2 linked regions of the Mus musculus genome follow. The protein of the gene in region 1 interacts with the protein of each later gene in a pairwise test. Links are inferred from orthologs where the notes say so. Each region holds a gene or a part of one and is shown on either strand. Other genes may lie near its edges.

Region 1 (3,773 bases):
TGGTCCCCAGCCAGGGGTGAAGGAGCTGGTGCTGTGGAGGGGGTGGAGACCGGGCTGGTGGGAGTCCCTGGAGGCTTAGCCGTCGACTGGGGCTTTGGCACAGATGGGGGCACAGGCTTTCTCAGTCCTTCTCCAGGTGGGCCGGCCTTGGTGGGGTCAGTGTTCACAGCATCCATAGCCAGACTCGTGCATTTTGTCTTTGTGGGCCCCCCTGCCTCCCCGGCCTCTTGGCTGGGGCTCTGTGCGGGCTTGCCTGCTTTTCCTGTGCAGGCAGGAGGAGGCGGCGGGGCAGGCTTGAGCTTAGCCAGTCGCCCCTTGTCTCTCCCTGGGGACTCCGAGCTGTGCTTGTGCCTCCTTACGCGCATCTCCTCAGAGGAGGCCTTGCTGAGGCCCACTTTGTTGCTGGGGGGTGCTGGCTCTGCAGTGGCCGGAGTCCCCATGCCTGAGGCACTGCCCTTGGTGGCCTCTTCCTTGTGAGAGAGGCCAGAGGAAGGAGAGGCAGTGACCTGCCTGCGGAGGAGTTTGGGAGTCAAGCTGGGAGGGCTGGAGCCAGGGCTGGATTCTGTGTCTTTGAAGCCTTCTTCAGCAGCCTCCTCGTTCTTCTTCACCAGCCGGGGAGGGGGCATCGCCGTGCTTTTGGCCACCTGCTCAGACCTGCTCTCACTGGTGCGTTTCCGAGGCAGAGCTGGCTTTTCGCTTTTGTGCCCTCCAAAGGTGGATGAGTCAAACTGCTTGCCAGCAGACGGCAGGTCTCGAGGCAGCGTGACCGACCGCCACTCTGTGTCCCTTGCCCCATGGGGCATGCAGGAGGCCGAACAAGAACGCAGGAAGCGCTTACTGGAGCTCATGCCGCTCTCCTCTTCGGCAGCAGCCAGGCGGCTCCCGGTCAGTGTGCTGGACTTTTTCCACATGTGGGGAGAACGGAAGCCTGAGTTGCCCGGCTCCCGGAAGGCTCCATTAGGGACGCCAGCCCCATTGCTGGCCTTTGGGGACTTGGTAGGCTCTGCTGCGTCTGAGGTGAGAGCTGGTGGTCCATTGCAGAGTTCCCTGCTGTCATCCTCACTAGCCCCTCTGCGGTCTGGCTGGCCATCCATCTCTCGGAAGGAACTGCTGCGCTTAGGGGGCGTCGGCGCCATTTTCTTCTTCTTCTTGATCAAAGCGCTGAACAGGTTGGTCTTTCTGTCTCTGGGGAGAAGGCGCTCATCTTCATTTAGGCTGCCGTCTGGGGGCCCGCGCTCTTTCCGAGGAAGCAGTGGCGATACAGCAGGCTCACTGTCCAGTGCATCTGAAACAGGGAAGAATGAGCAACAGCGCCCAGCCAACACTGCCCTCGGCTGGCTGGGCCTCTGTGGGGAGGCTCCCCATGGGCTTCTGCACCCTCGGCCTTCATGGCACAGGCAGCATGGAGCTCAGTGCCACCGGAGGGCAGAAGACAAAATGGTGGCATTCCCTACAGCCTGGCCTTGTCAGCAGTATCATGTCTGAGCTTGTCACTATCAAGTCTCTCCCTGGGCCCAGAGGGGCAAGGGCTGGAACGACCCTGCTTTCCTCATTCTAAAACTTATTAAGGTTGTGGAGTCCCTCCAATGTCAGCAGAATGACAACGCCAAGGGTCAGACCTGCTGAGGGGAAGATGTCAGCTGTCCCATGGGGGCATGACAATCAGCTGTTGTGACAGAGAAAGATGGCCTTTACAAAACTTCATGTGGGTGTTCTTAAAATATGAGTGACATAGCTGGGCAGAGGTGGCTACATCCCAGCACTTGGGAGGCAGAGGCAAGCAAATCTCTGAGTTCAGGGCCAGCCCGGTCTACAGAGTGAGTTCCAGGACAGCCAGGGCTACACAGAGAGACCTTGTCTTGGAAAACAAAACAAACAAAAGCCTTTGTGCTGTCCGGCGCTGTGGCCAATTCTATGAGACTTCCTTCCCTCAGCCTCTAGGACTGAGGTAGACTGTACATCTGTCCTAAGACTAGCAGAGATGAGCATCAGAACAAGGTGAGCAGAGGATCGATCTCTCCACACTGCAGTCCTACTGAAGAAGGTGGAGAGACTCTGAGGGTCACAGATATTAGGGGCACTCTGGCTTACCAGGAGATGACTATCCAGAGCGTCAGTAATGACACCGAGGGAAGACACACACACAGTTGCTCATCACCGGCCTTTCCTAGCCCACACTCCTGCAGCAGCCTCTCCCCCACAGCATGAGAGCCGACGGGAGGACGGGACAGCTTGTGTGCGGCCTCCACGGGGAGGGAGATGATCCATGGCTCTACAACTTGGACTTACTTGTTTATGTAAACTTTAAGGCCACACACACGTGTGCCCGTGCAGCAGCATACAGAGAGGTCAGAGGACAACCCCAGTCCTTCCTTCCTTCCTTCCAAGCTTGTCTGAGGTAGCGTCTCTGTTTTTCACTGCTGTGTATGTCATGCTAGCTGGCCCCTAAATTTCTGAGGATTCTCCTGCCACCACTTCCTCTGTCTCTAAGGAGGACCCGGAGTTACAGATATGTGTTAGCACATGTGACCGACAACTGCTCGGCAAGCGATTCACACTGAGGAACACCCTCAGTTCACACGCAAACCTTCCAAACAAGCTCCTTTGGCACCTGTGTGTGCTGGATAGCTTTATGACACAGCTACAGTCATCTGAGAAGAGACTGTAAGAGCCTCCGTGGGACAAGGCTGTAGACGAACCTGTGGAGCATCGTTTTAACCAGTGCCTGATGGGGTGCGCCCAGCCTGTTGTGACTGGGGCCATCCCCGGGATGGTGGTCACAGGTTCTATAAGAAAGCAGGCCAACTAAGCCATGGGGAACATGCCTGTAAGCAGCACTCCTTCACGACCTCTGCAGCAGCTCCTGCCTCCAGGTCCCTGCCCTGCTCCAGCTCCTGTTCTGATCTTTGATGCTTCTGCAATGTGGAAGCATACGCTAAGGAGACGCTCTCCTCCCCAGGTTTCTTTAGTCACGGTGACTTTAGTCATCGCAGCAATAGTGACCCTGGCTAAGACAGTCCCTAGAGTACTCTTACGTGTTCTGTGGGGTTGACCAGTCAGCTTCTAATCAGTATAAGTATAGGTTTAGAATCACAACTGTTTAAAAAAACCAGAAATGTGGTTTCTGCTGAGTAAATGCCTCTTATGAACGCCTATCAGAATCATACTTTGTCTTGCCTGGTCCCATTCAACCAAGCCACTGTCCATCAGCCCATGATGGGAGCCCTGGGGGCCTTTTTGAGTTCAGGTACCAGCACCCCTTCCCCTGGCCAACTGACTTTAGTGGGTCTGCAGGAGAGGAGGATGCTGTTTTCCTGGTACCAGTGCTTAGCTGGCATGCAGGAAGCTGCAGACACAGGGCCGCTCATACTATCCCTGTGCATCTCTAGGCACCTCCTGACCCAGTCCCACTGCCCTAGTGGAGCCTGGGAAACAGTTGGAGAAGACAGCCTTTCCAGAGACCACAGGAAACCAGCGCTGACTGAGCCTGGGCTGCTCTGATGGGTCCATGTTGTTTAGTGCTGTGACTGCCCCGGAAGACGCCCACAGGGCTGGGAAGAACACATGCAAAGATGGGGGTGCTTTTTTGGCAGGTGTCTCAGCTTTCGGCTTGTCTAAGCAATTGCTGAAAGGCTCCCCTGGGCAGGAGCGAATCTTCCTCCCTGGGCTGGACTGCTGAGGAGGGACTAATGCCCTTCCATGCCAGCTGCACTGACAGCTTCTGTTCACCTGCCTGGCTTGGGGGTGGGATGGACAGACGTACCGCTTTCTCC
Region 2 (3,811 bases), on another chromosome or scaffold:
GCTACTGGAGACTCTAAAGGAAGAGCTGTCTTCTGGCTGCAGGCTGATTCCCATGTATGTGTCTAGCTGCGCATGGATCGAATGACTGCCCCAGGACCCCCAGGCCTAGGACCCACACGCCCAGCACTCACTGGCATCTATGTCAGGGTCTATGTTAGGGAGGACTGTGAAGCGATTTTCAGCAAGACTTTCCTCAAAGTCCACCTGAGGAGACAGATTAGACGTCCAGTTTCTTAGCACCCAGCACCCTCTCTCTGTTCTGTCCCCCGTTCTCCTTGGGCCCCAGATCCCCCTTTAATCCTCATCTTCAGACACTTCCTCTCAGCATGTTGTTTTGTCACCAGGTGACCCCACATCTCCCATGCGCCCCCACCTCCCACACCACATACTCCAAACCCCAGACCCTTTCTACTCCTCCATCCTGTCCCACTCCTCCTCCTCCTCCTCCTCCTCCTCCTCCTCCTCTTCCTCCTCCTCGGGTGTCTGGCTTCCGCTCACCACCTTCCCGATGAGGCTGGCAATGTGATGCAGGTCGTCAGAGAACTCCTGGGCAATGTCCTGAAAAAGCTGGATGGACTGTGGCAGAGAACGGCAGGCATCCCTCAGGCCGAGAGCACTGTACACAGTCTGTGGGAGAGATGACTGAGAAGGTGACCCCACCCAGGTGACATGGACAGAACGAGAAACACAAGGACCAATGGTGAACACTGAGAGGTTACCAAAGGCAAGAACACACACACACACACAGAGACACAGATAAAAAAACACATAGAGAGTGGGGCATGATGGTGCATGCCTACAATTTCAGCACTTGAGTGGCAGAGGCAGGTGGATCTCTGTGAGTTCCAGGACAGCCTGGTCTACAGAGTGAGTTCCAGGACAGCCAGGGCTACACAGGAGACTCTGTCTCAAAAAACAAGCAAAGAGAAAGAAAGAAAGAGAGAGAGAGAGAGAGAGAGAGAGAGGGAGAGAGAGAGAGAGGGAGAGAGAGAGAGAGAGAGAGAGAGAGAGAGAGAGAGAAAAGAAAGAGGGCTGGAGAGATGGCTCAGTGGTTAAGCCATCCAAAGGTCCTGAGTTCAAATCCCAGCAACCACATGGTGACTCACAACCATCTGCAATGAGAGCTGATGCCCTCTTCTGGTGTGTCTGAGACAGCTACACTGTACTCGTATAAATAAAAATCTTAAAAAAAAAAAAAAAAGGGGGCTGGTGAGATGGCTCAGTGGGTTAGAGCACCCGACTGCTCTTCCGAAGGTCCAGAGTTCAAATCCCAGCAACCACATGGTGGCTCACAACCATCCGTAACGAGATCTGACTCCCTCTTCTGGTGTGTCTGAAGACAGCTACAGTGTACTTACATATAATAAATAAATAAATCTAAAAAAAAAAAAAAAAGGAAGAGAAAGGAAGAAAAGAAAGAAAGGAAAAACTGATGGAGAGAACAGATTATTATTAAATTAAACTTCTGCAAGAGGAGGACAAGAAAACAATCAGGCTGGGCATGGTGGTGCACGCCTTTGATCCCAACACTTGGGAGGCAGAGACAGGTGGATCTCTGTGAGTTCGAGGCCAGCCTGGTCTACAGAGTGAGTTCCAGGACAGCCAGGGATACCCAGAGAAACCCTGTCTCGAAAAAAACAAAACCAAAACAGAAAAAAGGGTTTTAGAAGTCAGGGAGGAAGTATGTTAGAAGAAGCAGAGGGAGGCCAGTGTCCCTGAGAACTAATTCTCCAGGGCAAGGTCAGTGACTGGGAGCTGATGTGACCACAGGTTAAGCTATGGACAGAGCATAGCACCAGAGGGAGTGTCCTTCTGTAGAAGAGCTGCATAAACTGCACAAGTCAAGGGCTGGGACGAGCAGCAGACTCAGTAGCCCCGATAAAGCAGACAGAGTTGAACAACTGACAAAGTCCAAGAATTTCAAACAAGTCTGGCGGGGCCTGAGGCTGTTTGGGAAGCCTTTTCACAGAAAAGGAAAGGAGGTGGGCCTTAAATAAAAACTCCAAAGTCAGCTGAGAACAGAGAGCAAATGAACAGAGGAGGGAGACGCAGTGACCCGCACTGATGTGCCAGACCACGTTCTAGATTTCCTTGTGAGTCAGAGCCCTGTGGGGTGGGCACTACCTCCACCTTCAGCTCACAGATGAGCAGTCTGAAGCACAAGAGGCAATGGCAGCCTCAACTCTCACAGCAAATTAATGAACTGGGGCTTGAATCAAGGGTGTAGCTCCCTTGTTCTCATTGTCACCATGCACCACTGCTAAGCTGCAACCCAACGTTTACTCTGAGATAATATCACACTAAGTTACCCACACAGCTTTCTTTTTTTTTTTTTTTTTTTTTTTTTTTTTTTTAAAGATTTATTTATTTATTATATGTAAGTACACCATAGCTGTCTTCAGACACACCAGAAGAGGGCGTCAGATCTTGTTACAGATGGTTGTGAGCCACCATGTGGTTGCTGGGATTTGAACTCTGGACCTTGGGAAGAGCAGTCGGGTGGGGTGCTCTTACCCACTGAGCCATCTCACCAGCCCCCCCCACACAGCTTTCTAACTCACTCTGTAGCCCAGGATAGCCTTGTGCTTCTTTTGCTTTGGGGGCACAAGGTCTCAATTGGGTGTGATGTCGAAAGTCTGTAATCCCAGCACTCTGGAAACTGAGGCAGATGGATCACAAATTCAAGATCAACTGAGATGTCATAGTGCATTTAAGGCTAGCCTGTGCTATATTTTGAGATCCTGTGTCTAAGCAACCAAACAAGCAAATGTCAGTGCTTATAAGGCAGAGACAAAAGGGCTGCTACAAGTTTGAGGCTAGCCTACTCTACACAGCAAGTTACAGGAAGTACATTGCTACACAGTGAGACCCTGTCTCAAGCTAGACAATAAAAATTTTTGTTGTTGTTGTGGTTTTTGTTTGTTCGAGACTGGGTTTCTCTGTAGCCCTGGCTGTCCTGGAACTCACTCTGTAGACCAGGCTGGCCTCGAACTCAGAAATCTGCCTGCCTCTGCCTCCCAAGTGCTGGGATAAAGGCATGTGCCACCACCGCCCAGCGTCTCTATGAATGTTAAGCCATTAGGGTTTACATAAAGAGTTCTATTCCAGATAGGGCTACATAATGAAACCCTATCTCAAAACAAACAAACAAACAAACAAACAAACACAAAGTTAGTAAATAAATGTGGTGGTTTGAATGAAAATGGTCTCCATAGGCCCACAGGTTGTCGTCTTGTTGGTAGAAGTGTGTCACTGGGGGTGGGCTTTGAGGTTTCAGATACTCAAGCCAGGCCCAGTGTCACTCTCTCTCCCTGTTGTGTTAAGAGCTTTTACTGCCACTTCTAGGAATTTGGCATTTGTCACTGGGCTCAGACAATATAAGAAACAGTGACTGTACTGGCTGGTTTTGTGTGTCAACTTGACACAGGCTGGAGTTATTAGAGAAGGGAGCTTCAGTTAGGGAAATGCCTCCATGAGATCCAGCTGTGGGGCATTTTCTTAGTTGGTGATCAAGGAGGGAGGGCCCACAGTGGGTGGTGCCATCCCTGGGCTAGTAGCCCCGGGTTCTATAAGAAAGCAAGCTGATCAAGCCAGGGGAAGCAAGCCAGTAAGTAACATCCCTCCATGGCCTCTGCATCAGCTCCTGCTTCCTGGCCTGCTTGAGTTCCAGTCCTGACTTCCTTAGGTGATGAACAGCAATGTGGAAGTGTGAGCTGCATAAACCCTTTCCTCCCCAACTTGCTTCTAAGTCACGTTGTTTGTGCAGGAATAGAAACCCTGACTAAGACAGTGACCATGGGGCTTTGTTAAC

Evidence for each region.
Region 2: the proteins of Abl1 (region 1) and Msh5 interact in binary tests that used the Homo sapiens proteins (3 or more experiments, as listed by UniProt). The link is inferred for Mus musculus from reciprocal best matches to the Homo sapiens genes ABL1 and MSH5.

What each region holds. Positions count from the first base shown.
Region 1 is NC_000068.7:31,797,718-31,801,490, reverse strand, and holds part of Abl1 (tyrosine-protein kinase ABL1), read right to left. Parts: coding exon 3,764-3,773; intron 1,286-3,763; coding exon 1-1,285. UniProt on the Homo sapiens protein: Non-receptor tyrosine-protein kinase that plays a role in many key processes linked to cell growth and survival such as cytoskeleton remodeling in response to extracellular stimuli, cell motility and adhesion, receptor endocytosis, autophagy, DNA damage response and apoptosis.
Region 2 is NC_000083.6:35,033,092-35,036,902, forward strand, and holds part of Msh5 (mutS protein homolog 5), read right to left. Parts: intron 628-3,811; coding exon 499-627; intron 205-498; coding exon 132-204; intron 1-131.